Linked DNA regions of Bombyx mori. The main gene of each other region encodes a partner of the protein of the gene in region 3 in a complex. Links are inferred from orthologs where the notes say so. Each region holds a gene or a part of one and is shown on either strand. Other genes may lie near its edges.

Region 1 (4,124 bases), on a different chromosome or scaffold from region 3:
GACATAAAAAAGTGACATAAAAACAAAAATTTAATGCAATGCTTAACTAATAAATAATGTATCTGTTGAATAATACAAGGTATTATTTCCCACTTGCAAGAACCTCTTCTCGGGTAAAGGCCTCCTCCAAGGATAGCCAATCTTCTCTGGATTGTATAATTTTACGTCTTGTTTCCGATAGTCCTATAATGAATTCTTTCAATATTTCGTTTAATTCTATTAAACGTTCATGTGATAGGTGATCTGACATTGTATTTCAATATGTAGAATTTCTTTTGAAGGTTTTTTTTTTTTTTGAAGGTTTTTTTTTTTTGAAGGTTTTTTTGTTTTTGATTCCTTGGAGGGTTTTGGTCATAATCTTCCACGGGGACCAACCGTATTGGAAGATGTTTTTCTTGTGTATTTTGCTTGTTTTTCTTGTGGGAGGGGGGTGGTAGTGTCTATATATTCCTGTTTTGATTGTTCTGCTAAATCAGTGCGTTGTTAGTATTTTTTAGTGCGGAAGTTGAGCATGCCCGGTTTCAAGACACCCTCCGATAGACTAGATGATCTTTGTATCGGAGCTTGTGTTTTGTTCTTCTTGCTTGCTTGAGTCTTTTTCTCATCTTGAGGGCGGTAATGAAAACAGGGGGTTTCGGGTGAAGCAGAAAGCATTCTTTTATTAGTATTTTTTGTATTCTTGTTCTTATTTATTACTATCATTTTATCATACTTGATGAACGCAGTGTTGCCCTTCTCTCGCTCTTCCTGTACCTGTTTTTTGTAGTTCCTTCCTTTTTTTCCAAAATGTTTTGTGGATAATCCTCTTTTAAATAGTATGGAGTATCATTCAGTTTTCCTCTGTTTTTGTATATATCTATTTTTAAACCCAAAGTTACAAATGTCACAATAATTGATCGAGGCTTTTCTCCTTTCTTACCTATTCTCTTAGCCTCCTGAATGTCTGTAGAATTCAGTTTAATAGATAAGTACGTTCTATGAAACTGGCTAAGTTTCTTTCCAAGTTTGAATATGAAATTTCCGTTTCTTCCACCCCAAAGAAGACAACATTCCTTAGTCTTGCTTGTTTTTCTAAAACATACAGTCTTTTTCCTTGATTTTGCACTTCAGCTTTGAGATTATCGAATTTTTCTTCCCAGTAATTAAACTTTTCGTCCAGTATTTTATTTATGTTTTGAGTCACTTGTTCTGTCACTTTCTCGCCGCTTTTTGTTCATCCAGTTCTTTTTGGATGGTTCTGAGTGCAATTAAAATTTCTTCCATTGTTAGATAGCGTAACGATAGAACGAGTAACGAGTTGTTTTGATACTGGTGGCACCCTCTCTTGTCTTAGGTGTATCTATTTCAACGGACGTTCAATGCGCGGCCAATAGTAGTCGGGATAATGCGAAGACTGGGTTGTGACGAAGTTTGATAGCATCGGCAGATGACGTTAATTGACGTAGCGATTTATGGGTATTATAATTATTAAAGGGACTTAGATTATTACCATTTTTCGGAAACTCTTTCCAAACCCACTAACTTATGCTTGTTCGACACTCTGTGCTATCCGTTCACTCCTCGTAGATTTTTTCCCTCGATCAGATCACAAAATGATACTCAACGATGTTCTTCTCACTAGAGTAATTTTTACAATTATTCATTAAATCCTTAAACAGTTGGCTGGTATTCACTGTTTAGCTTGCAGAGTACAGGCAATTACGCGTACTTAAACTCACTTTTTAAGGAATGGCACTATTTTAATATTTTTAAATCACGATAAAATACAGAGCCGATGTGTATTGTGGCAAACTCATTTGAATTTTGATTTATTGCCAGCCATACTAAAATTGTTTCAAATGATCAGTATTGGAAAACAGTAACTTTATAAGTAAAGCCCTAATATTAACAAACTTCCAAAGCTACAATTAGCAAATATTTAATCTTCTTACATGATATTGAGCTAAAATAATGTACTTCTTCCACCTAACAAATGTTGACTAATGTCACTATCAGTTGTTAACAGATCCTCTCATATTCTTGCTATGCTCAGTTTATTGTGAGATTTATAAACAATTAAAATATAAAAAATTAGCATATTACGTATCGACGGGTACTTTTTCACTGTTTTAGCCAAGTGTGTTAAAAATAAAGGTTTTCATCTGTAATTCTATCTAATAGAACTTACAAAGTTCCTAAGATGTTCCACAGCTTCTAGCAAGAGCTCTTGGTGTCCGATGATATGCATGCCCAAGTACTCTAAGTCATCACATCTCAACATCAATAATCTAGTACCATTTAAGCCTTTGGCTCGCATTTGTGGGACATACTGGGCAACAGATGCGTCCAGCCCTGAAATGATAATGTAAACATAGAACACAGCTTCCAATAAGTAATGATTTACAAATCACAGTAGTGATATCTCATTATTACATTACATGTGCAATAAAATTCAGAATAAGGTAGTCTCAGAGAACTGAATAATATGAGTCATATTTAAAAAAAAACAGACTTTATACGGCTTATATATAGTGGTTTTATTTGTCTAACCAGAGCCGGCAGTCTAGCCTGACTCACCGTCTGTACAAAACATGAAACGGACACTCACCGGACATCCATTCAGCTACTTGGTCCGCAGTCCATTCAGCAATATTTAATCCAGCCATTGTAATAAGCACTGCGCATATTTCAACTGATTGAATATATTTTTTATTTTATTATGAAACAGAAAAAGTAAATATGTAGCACTATCGCGCATTTCATTTATTGTTCGAAAAAACAAGCTTTGATTACGTCGTAGGGATGTTGATCTGAGATCGACCATTCGAAGAATTAAAGCTTTAACCAAAAATATCGATTTTTTTAAATCGATCTTAACTAATAAATCGTTCTCAGTTAGCAGGAAATTGTGATTCGATTTGTTTTGCTGCAGCTAGAACGCAATCAAACATGATTATAAATTATTTTTTGGGTTCAATAACTTAGGTGTAAAATATTTGCTCTTGTAGATGTTACGTTTTTTTAGCATTAAGCGAGCAATAATGGTTAATTTTTACTTTTTTAAATCTGTGAAATTAAATAAGTATGGGAAAATGATAATAAGTCGCTGGTCGTGGATTCTTGGGCTCGTCCTGTGGGCTTATCCCACATCTCATGCACACACATTTACTCTTCACAATATAAAACTTATATAATATATTTATTTCATATAATTATTAATACACACAGAGTATACATTCACACATATAACATATCTATTAATATATTATTACTACATTACATATACAACAGACATACACACACGACAATTTATCGTACCACGTCAATCAGCTGGTCGCCCGTTCGTTTGCGCTGTGGACACGCGCGCTTGAACGGAATGTCGCGGGTAGCTTGAAAATATATTCTTGCGCAGCTGATCGCGGCTAGCCACGCCCCCAGTCGAAACTTACCTCGAGACTAAACGCACGTCGCTTTTGCTAATTATATACTGTTGTATTGTTTTCGAAGCTTTTGCCTCACTTGTGATAACGCGCTTTCTTTGTGTTTATCGTAATAGTATTGTCGTAAAGTGTAAAGTGTCTTCTACTTATAAACTGAATCTCTTCTGTGCTCGTAACCTTCAATTCAATAATATTTATATCAATCAATAATTATAATAATATAGACTGTGTTGTATTTTCGTGTGGACTCAGTGTTAGTTGAATAAACATTTCATTAGTGTGCAAGGTGTCGTATTTAATTTATTAACCGAACACCGTCGACGGCTTCTCAGGTACCTACTTACCTTTACCTCAATTACGCTACAAGTCCGGACGACCCGTACATACTCAAACCACATCTCCAACATACGGCAGCCCACAATTCGAGTCTATAGTCCAAAAAGTCCACTGATGTCTTAGTAAGCTCCCACTACTTTATTGAGGTCTAAATCATTATATCACGTTTCATTTACTTTCATCCTAATTGATACCAAATTAAGATAAGACGAAGACGAAGAAGCTTCATTTCATTTCATCCTATCGTTTTGCCGTTATATGATTATTAATACGTATGTACTTACTAACTGAAGATTTCTAACCATATCACCAGACCAATGAGACCATTTTGTTCTCAAAAAGAAAAACTTCTCACATACCTACACAACT
Region 2 (4,248 bases), on a different chromosome or scaffold from region 3:
CCTTTGAGAACTGCTGATGTGATTGTTCCTAAGAGTTCACAATATTATTCTAGGGTTATTCTAATTCTTCTATTAAGGTCTATTCTAATCATTGGTTATAGAAATATACAAAAGTTAGTATATATTAATGTGCAAGCTGATCACTGAAGCATTCATATCGACACTTGAAAGGCAAACGTGACTAAGCGACAATGCGTTAACTTTACAGTAGACTAATTTAAAATTGAAATACCTGAAAAAAATTCTATTTTAACGAGTCTAGCTGTAGGATTGAAATGATTTTAATAGACCTAGAAATATATTTTTTTTGCGCATCGAATATGGTATTTGCGTATCATTTATGAACAAATCAGTTATTGTCACTTAGTCACGTTTGCCTTTCAAGCGTCTATATGGTTCCAATAGAGCTCAAGCAAGCTGCTGTGTACCAACACTGCTGATTTTTTTTAGAATACCCTCAACTAACAATAAGTGGTTTAAGATTAGCTTAAAGAAAAATCAACAGTTAATATATTCTTGTAGCATTCTAGCAGAATAGGTAATTTAGCAACATTAATAAACAGATATGTGGCACCAACCTTTCAACTACAACTAATGACATATGCAATGGAATATTGCAACAAAGATACAAAATAATACAAATAGATGATTTGTATTAACATGTAAGAATTTCTAGCGATTAATTATTAATTTGATGTAGCATAGATCAATTAAACGTTACCTAAAATAGATTCAGGAATTCTTCCCGCCTTCTTCAATATAAGATCCAATGACCCTCCATCCATGTATTCCATGCATATAGAGATCTCGCCATCACTATAGAATGCTCCATAGAAGCCAACTATATGTGCAAAGTTACATTCATGAAGTACTTTTAACTCTCTGATTATCTGCTTTTTTATAGCCGGTTTCACTTCGAGATGAATCAACTTGCGTGCCATGATGAGTCCGGTAGATTTGTGACGAACTTTCATTACAACTCCACCGTTGCCTTGGCCTGAAATTTTATAATAATTAAAAGTCACTAACAATGTATATAATTAGTAATTCTTTTATATAGTTTAGTTATTCTTATTTTTCAATTACATTTTTTACTTTTCCTGAAATTACCAATTATAGGGTAAGTTTAATTAAGCATTTAAAGGTCATCACCAAGTTAAACTTTGAAGTTGTCAGTAAAGTAATTTAAAAATAGCAGAAAATTAAAATACTCACTAGTACAAATATTATTTTAGATACTTTATAAAATCACTAACCTAATTCACCAAGCTTCTCAAAGTCATCATCACTCAGCTCTCCAATCTTCTCTTTCTGACAGAGGAATACTTCTATCCTGCGCCTCTGAGTATCATCCATCTCAATTTGCTCCAGTCTCTCAGTTAAAGCCTCTATACTTGTCTTTGACTTGCCTGCTAACCCTTGCCGCCTACAACAATTTTACAGTAACATAAAAAATTTCAATGTAAATATATATGCTTATATATATTATTAAGAAGCTAGAAATGCAGTATATACTTGGTGCCATTCCATTTATATGGAGGACCATAATATCATTGTTGTGATGTTCATTGGCTATATTTATCACTATATAAAGAGGTAGGCTATGAATTTGGTCACCTGCCTAAGCAATTAACAAATAAAAACTGATAAACTGTTTAACTCTTGTAATGTAAAGCATTAGAAATGTTGGAAATAATAAAATGAAAATAATAAATACGAAAATAAACCATAACAAGTGTTTTAATGATATCTGAGAATCAAAAATTTAACTTCTATAATTATAATAATGAATTTCTTAATAATTTTAGGTTTGATAATAATACTTTACTGCTGTAAAGATTATTAAAATCCCTATTTAATAACTTCAACCTCATAACGAAGTTTCATTATTTATATACTTACTCATTTGCAGTAGCAGATTTGAGCTGTGGTGTCATGTTAGATGGCGTGGCAGCTGGGTTTGTGTCTATTGACCCTGGTGGAAGGGTCAAATTCAGTTTGTTCTTTGACATCTTACTCATTTTGATTTTTTAGATCTTCCCTCATCCATGAAGTATCTACAACAGTTGATTTATTATTAAATAAGAGGGTTTAATTTTTTTGAGGTTTTTGGAAATTTAATGACAAGTTCTAAGTTTCTTGCCAGTGTAAGCCAGCTATGCCTGCGTCTTTAAGTTTTGTGAAGACATTTTTGTTTTGGTAAATAAGCTATTTCAGGTCCTAGGTTATCTCGAAAGTGTTAAAAAAGAAAAACACTATTTTCCCCTTAAATATAATCTACTGTCTATATACTGTAATGTATCTGTACTATTGGTTTCTGATAAAAAAAACAATGTTTTTGTTGTTTGGATTATTCATTTTCTTGAGTAAAATTTTTGGTTAGAGTGCCTAATTATGATACTAATGATTAATATTTAAAATCTATTAATACTTAAACAAAAAGGATGTAGCAAGGAGCCATTATGAATTGAATTCAATTATTATATTCAAACGAAGTTTTTCTTAATTTTAAATGGAAATTTCATCGAACACCGCAAAATTTATGAACAACAAAAAGCGTTGTAAGAAAAAACAAGATTCATACTCATCAAATACCCATTTGTCAAGGCATTATTTTATAACGTTCACACAGCAACGGTATTTCTTACAAAAAAATTGAAACACAAACAAAACTACTCAAAAAGAGTCCCAAACCCAGCAATTAATGTCGGAAAAAACCTTAACTGAAAAGAAAATGTAAATCGAATATTCGTCACTCGCAAATTTTTTGCCGTAAGTAGATATGACATTTTTTTGATTCGTCTTTTGGATAGGCAAAGAGAATGTGACCCAAACAGCTTAACTACTCTTTTGAAACAAAACCTGAAGTTATAAAAAAAAAATAGAACTAGATTCTATAATTTACCGAGAAACCAAGTTGAGCAAATTTTTTTTTCAGACTACTACTCGCAAAAAATTCAAATCTAACAAGTAATAATAAAAATTATCTAATCACCAAAATATTGATAATAATAATAAATGATTTATGTTCGGAATTCTCATATCTTTTTTTCTTTCTTCAACAAACAAAAATTTAAGTAAAGGTTAAGGTAGGTATGTACAAAACAATGAACAAGAATATTGATGTTATGTCATAAATCGAAATATAATCGATTTCTTCCAGGCAACTTTATAGGAAGTTAATTTATTTCATAAAAATGATAGTGGTTATCTACGTTGCAAGTAGTACTATAGAAATACGTTGTGATCTATATGAGCTCCAGTAACTCTCTGAGCTGCTTTGCTTGTTATGCTCTCCAAGTTCTGAGCTGCTTTGCTCGTTTATGCAATTAAAAAATCAAACATAAATCATGAGAAAAAATAAAAATTGAAAAATACTATTAGATTGGAATAAGAATATTAAAATTCATTGACATGCTGCTTTAAGATATTCTTCGTCTTTTATGTATGGCAATTGGCTTCTTGCGATACCATTGTTGCCAATGTCCAGTTTATAAAAATCTTCAATTATTAAATACCTACCTTCAATTATAAAATAAATAATTAGAAAATTTGAAATTTTCTGTTATATCAAAAACTAGCAGCCCGCTCCGGCTTCGCTCGGATCTTTAGCAAAAATTTCAACGACGTTGTTTTACTTTTTTATATAAAAGAACACTTATTGTGGCATAACTATAATAGTTAGACATATGCTGTCGCGACACTTTTTGTAAATAATAATATGTTCTACAAAGTCGTAGTACATTATTTTATTCTGTCATCAATAGTTTTCGCAGGGCACGCAATGTAGTATGGATCCCAAATTTTTTTCAAAAAAGATTATAGCCTATGTCACTCGGGAATAGTGTAGCTTCCAAACAGTGAAAGAATTTTTCAAATCGGTTCAGTAGTTTTGGAGCCTATTCGATACAAACAAACAAACAAACAAATCTTTCCTCTTTATAATATTAGTATAGAAGTATAGATAATGGAGCGAAATGAGATTTAATTTAGTTTATTCATTTGAGACTGTAATCAATTGAGATGAAATTAAATGAAACGAGATGAGATGAAATAAAGGATCAGTAAGATTATGGTTATTTACTGAGACTTCAGTGGACTTTTAAGAACTTATGAAGCCACGTCCAACGGCTGTTTAATTTTTCCAAATTTGTGTATTTTAAGATGCCAAACAGTAAATAATGTACTATTATTACACGTTTAAACCTGAAGAAACACTAAATTAACAAAACTATTCAGACAGCTTTG
Region 3 (3,500 bases):
CCCGACGGGATGCCGAGACTGTCGCCGCGGGCGCTGCGGAACAACACGCATCAGTCGTCCGTCCTGGGGCGGGACAGTTTAAGCGCCCCGATTCTAAATGGCCGGAGCACCCATTGTACAACGCACTGCGCCGCACTGACTTGCGGATACAAGTCTATTCACCACTTCTTTTTTTTTTAAGGGATTTTATGACCTCGTAACTAAGACCTTTAGGTCAAGTCTTATTTTAATTTTAATGTTTTTTTTTTATGTAAAAATGATATTATGAAATGAAATGAAGTCGATTAATATGAAACATGGCATGAAATGAAATGAGATCAGATAGTATGGGATGAAATATAATCTCAGTAAAATGGTGGTCATTTACAGAGACTTTTTCAGTGGACTTTTTGGAGGATCCCGAGAAGTTACGTTCAGCGGCTTTGTTTCATTTTCCCACATTTGTGCACTTTCACAGATATAAAACAGTTTATAAACCACCGTTATTACACATTTAAACCTGAAGAAACACTAAATAGACAAAATAAAACAAATCACATAACTTCACTCCTCGCGTTCCTGCCAAAAAGTCCCATTCACCACTTCGAATAGATGCGTAGTGAGTAGAGCTGCGTTGTTTTAGTATTTTTATTGGTTTATTGGACAAGCAAAGGGATCGAAGCTCATACAGCCAACCAAAACCCGTTGCTGTTGCACGAAGAGTGAAATAAAATGGAAATGCTGTAAGATGAGACCACACCGTACAGGTATTCGATGAGGTAGTGGATTTTAATCTCTCAGTACAATGACAGAAAACTCCTGAGAGTTCAATGGTCATTTGGATGTCATATCCAGTGATTATGTTTCTCTACAAACAGCGCTCTTTCACATACAGTGAGAGCTTAATGAACTACAGCCAGTACACGTTTATTCATAAGAGAGACTATATTCTTAAAACTAAAACAATTAACATAGCTTGACACGTCAAAAAGTCTTGATTGAACTCTACTAACTTATTCCCGAAGCACAATTTAGTGACGCTGAAGAGACCAAAATCCGTGATGACCACCTTCCCGCTCTCTAAGAATATGTTCTTCGTCTTCAGGTCCTTGTGGATGATGCCTCGGGCGTGTAGGTAGCCCATACCCTGTGAAAAACAAACCAATTTTTCGTCGAGAACATTCTGAATGATACCCTGGTTCGTATTTTAAACGCGGAATCTTTTGAGGAATCAAGGATTTCTGGTACTCTTTTACGCAAAAACTTCTTAATGCTGTAACATCAGATGCTATTCACTATGCGATACTCCTTATACCATACTTGTGATGAACACAGTTCACGGCCAGCCTGGTGTGTTAGCTGATTACCAGAGCCCATAGATATCGCAAGGTAAACGTCGCCAGCGACTCTGAGTGGGTTATGACGAACGGCCACGGTGAGAGAACCCTTCAAATTTTTTTTTTGCTTATATTGGTGGACGAGCTCACAACCCACCTGGTGTTAGGTGGTTACTGAAGCTCATAGACATCTACAACGTAAATGCACCACCCACCTTGAGATGTAAGTTCTAAGGTAGTGTAGTTACAACGGCTGCTCCGCCCTTCAAGCCGAAACGCATTACTGCTTCACGGCAGATATAGACGGGGTGGTGGTACCTACTCGTTTGACCTCACAAGAGGTCCTACCACCAGTAAAAACCTACCCCTAGTCCCTATTCCCCCCTGCCTACAAAGGCAATAAAAAAAAATAAAAAAAAAGTATCGCCGACTCATAACCAACAATCTCACCTGTGAGATCTGCTGCGCCACGAGCACGCTCTTGTTGGCGGTGAACTTGTCTTTCCGCAGGTGGATGTGCGTGTAGAGCGTCATGCCCTTGCACAATGATGTCACTATCGCGAGCCGGGGCGGCTTCATGCAGGCCCCCATAAACAGGACCAGGTTCTCGTGACGGGTCTTCCGGAATATTGAAACCTAATCGACATTAATGATGAGTAAATTTTAATTTACTACACAAAATAGAAGCGTGACACTAAATCAGAGTTAAAAAAATTGTCCTTATGGGTACGATGCCTACGGGACGTATAGTGGGCGGTCATCGACCTCGGCGTTTTGTACGCCTTACATTTCAAGTTCCAAAAACATATTGTTTTATCTTTGTTTAAGGCATTTTATTATTAACTAATTCCAATAGCTTCACTTTCCTCACTCCCACAATACCAAGTCCGTCTGTAACTTGTTCAAATCAATTGCCAAATTTTTCGATTCCCATTCAATTTTGTACCAAGAATCTATAAAAAAATTTATTGATCACACTGATATTCGCAAAATAGCAGCCTCTATGGACTGCGATCCACTTAACACCAACGAGCGGCGACAACGTCCACACGTTACAACAAAACTCAACAAAATTATAATTTGCGTAATTACTGGTGGTAGGACCTCTTGTGAGTCCGCACGGGTAGGTACCTCCACCGCCTATTTCTGCCGTGAGGCAGTAATGCGTTTCGGTTTGAAGGGTGGGGCAGCCGCTGTAACTATACTGAGACCTTAGAACTTGTATCTCAAGGTGGGTGGCGCATTTACGTTGTAGATGTCTGTGATCAAAAGTAGCATAAAAAGAGACAAACTTATCCATCGGTCTCTTTCACTCCGTCTTTTCGGTTTGAAAACTTTATTTGATGTTTCCGAAAAAAAATACATTTTCTGTGTTGGATCTCTATTATTCTAAAGGCGCGATGTGTTTCATGTGTACTTGAAGGGTTTTCTCCGGTTCGTAAGGGGGGATACCTCATGCTTGAAGGTGTCGAGCAGCGAACCGTCGTCGCTGAGCGGCAGCACGTGCAGCAGCTTCACGGCGACGGCTCCGTGCCAGCTGCCCCGGCAGACGGTGCCGAACCTGCCCGCCCCTATCACCTCGAATATCTTCACGTCATCATAAGGTATGTCCCATTCCTTCATCGACAACTGTAGAAAAAAAAAATGTTAATTTTAATAATGCCTGATCGTCTGTTCAGGTAGAGTTTAAACGTTTTTGATGATTAACAATCGGCTAATTGAGAGATAGGCAGCGGCAGCGGCTTGGCTCTGCCATTGCTGAAGTCCATGGGCGACGGTAACCACTCACCATCAGGTGGGCCGTATGCTCGTCTGCCTACAAGGGCAATAAAAAAAAACAAAAAAGTTAGTGACAATGTCTACTGCACTATTGGATCAGACTTCTGTTCTCGGTACGTTTTGTAGACAAGTCCGTGTATCTGGTAACACAGAAAATTCAACATTTTCAAAGTCCCTAAGTTGCATATTCGGAATAGGCAACAAATAAATAAATTAAAAGATGATCCCGAATACAAAACGTACATAACGAAGAAAGCCTTCATTGGAAGTCAATTAAAAAGTTAATATCATTGGTAGCTTCTTTTTTAATTGACCTGTGCTTATTCACGCGAATGAATATTTTTACGATACATTCACCATCATCAAGAAAACCTAATAACATGATTTGCTCACGTATCGAGGTAA

What was found. The genes of interacting proteins can lie anywhere in the genome.
Region 1: the proteins of kinase suppressor of Ras 2 (region 3) and uncharacterized protein LOC101745226 are in contact, whole or in part, in a cryo-EM structure (PDB 8BW9), measured with the Drosophila melanogaster proteins. The link is inferred for Bombyx mori from reciprocal best matches to the Drosophila melanogaster genes ksr and cnk. Residues at the interface, in NP_001287177.1 of Drosophila melanogaster: Arg900, Gly901, Met902, Lys903, Gln904, Ser905, Leu906, Ala907, Gln910, Ser911, Gly912, Arg913, Lys916, Asp917, Met920, Tyr925, Lys945; in NP_001286524.1 of Drosophila melanogaster: Lys79, Asn80, Asn82, Gln84, Leu88, Glu183, Asn187, Ile190, Gln191, Ile193, Ser194, Asp195, Pro196, Val198, Leu199, Gln200, Pro201, His288, Thr289, Met291.
Region 2: the proteins of kinase suppressor of Ras 2 (region 3) and Mek are in contact, whole or in part, in a cryo-EM structure (PDB 8BW9), measured with the Drosophila melanogaster proteins. The link is inferred for Bombyx mori from reciprocal best matches to the Drosophila melanogaster genes ksr and Dsor1. Residues at the interface, in NP_001287177.1 of Drosophila melanogaster: Gln767, Tyr828, Asp830, Met831, Gly832, Leu833, Gly834, Val835, His837, Arg849, Ala850, Leu851, Gln852, Asp888, Gln889, Pro890, Ala891, Glu892, Ser893, Ile895, Trp896, Gln897, Gly899, Arg900; in NP_511098.1 of Drosophila melanogaster: Gly98, Gly99, Lys123, Asp236, Met238, Ala239, Asn240, Ser241, Phe242, Val243, Gly244, Thr245, Ser247, Met249, Arg253, Leu254, Gln255, Gly256, Ala310, Met311, Ala312, Ile313, Phe314, Leu317, Asp318, Val321.

What each region holds. Positions count from the first base shown.
Region 1 is NC_085128.1:233,122-237,245, reverse strand, and holds the start of uncharacterized protein LOC101745226, read right to left. Parts: upstream 2,801-4,124; 5' UTR 2,646-2,800; coding exon 2,588-2,645; intron 2,332-2,587; coding exon 2,168-2,331; intron 1-2,167.
Region 2 is NC_085127.1:6,274,001-6,278,248, forward strand, and holds the start of Mek (MAP kinse-ERK kinase), read right to left. Parts: upstream 2,801-4,248; 5' UTR 2,585-2,800; intron 2,058-2,584; 5' UTR 2,022-2,057; coding exon 1,903-2,021; intron 1,430-1,902; coding exon of another isoform or gene 1,427-1,429; coding exon 1,257-1,426; intron 998-1,256; coding exon 722-997; intron 29-721; coding exon 1-28. UniProt on the Drosophila melanogaster protein: Required downstream of Raf in the sevenless (sev), torso (tor), and Drosophila EGF receptor homolog (DER) signal transduction pathways.
Region 3 is NC_085114.1:14,723,509-14,727,008, forward strand, and holds part of kinase suppressor of Ras 2, read right to left. Parts: intron 2,946-3,500; coding exon 2,769-2,945; intron 1,953-2,768; coding exon 1,767-1,952; intron 1,127-1,766; coding exon 993-1,126; intron 34-992; coding exon 1-33.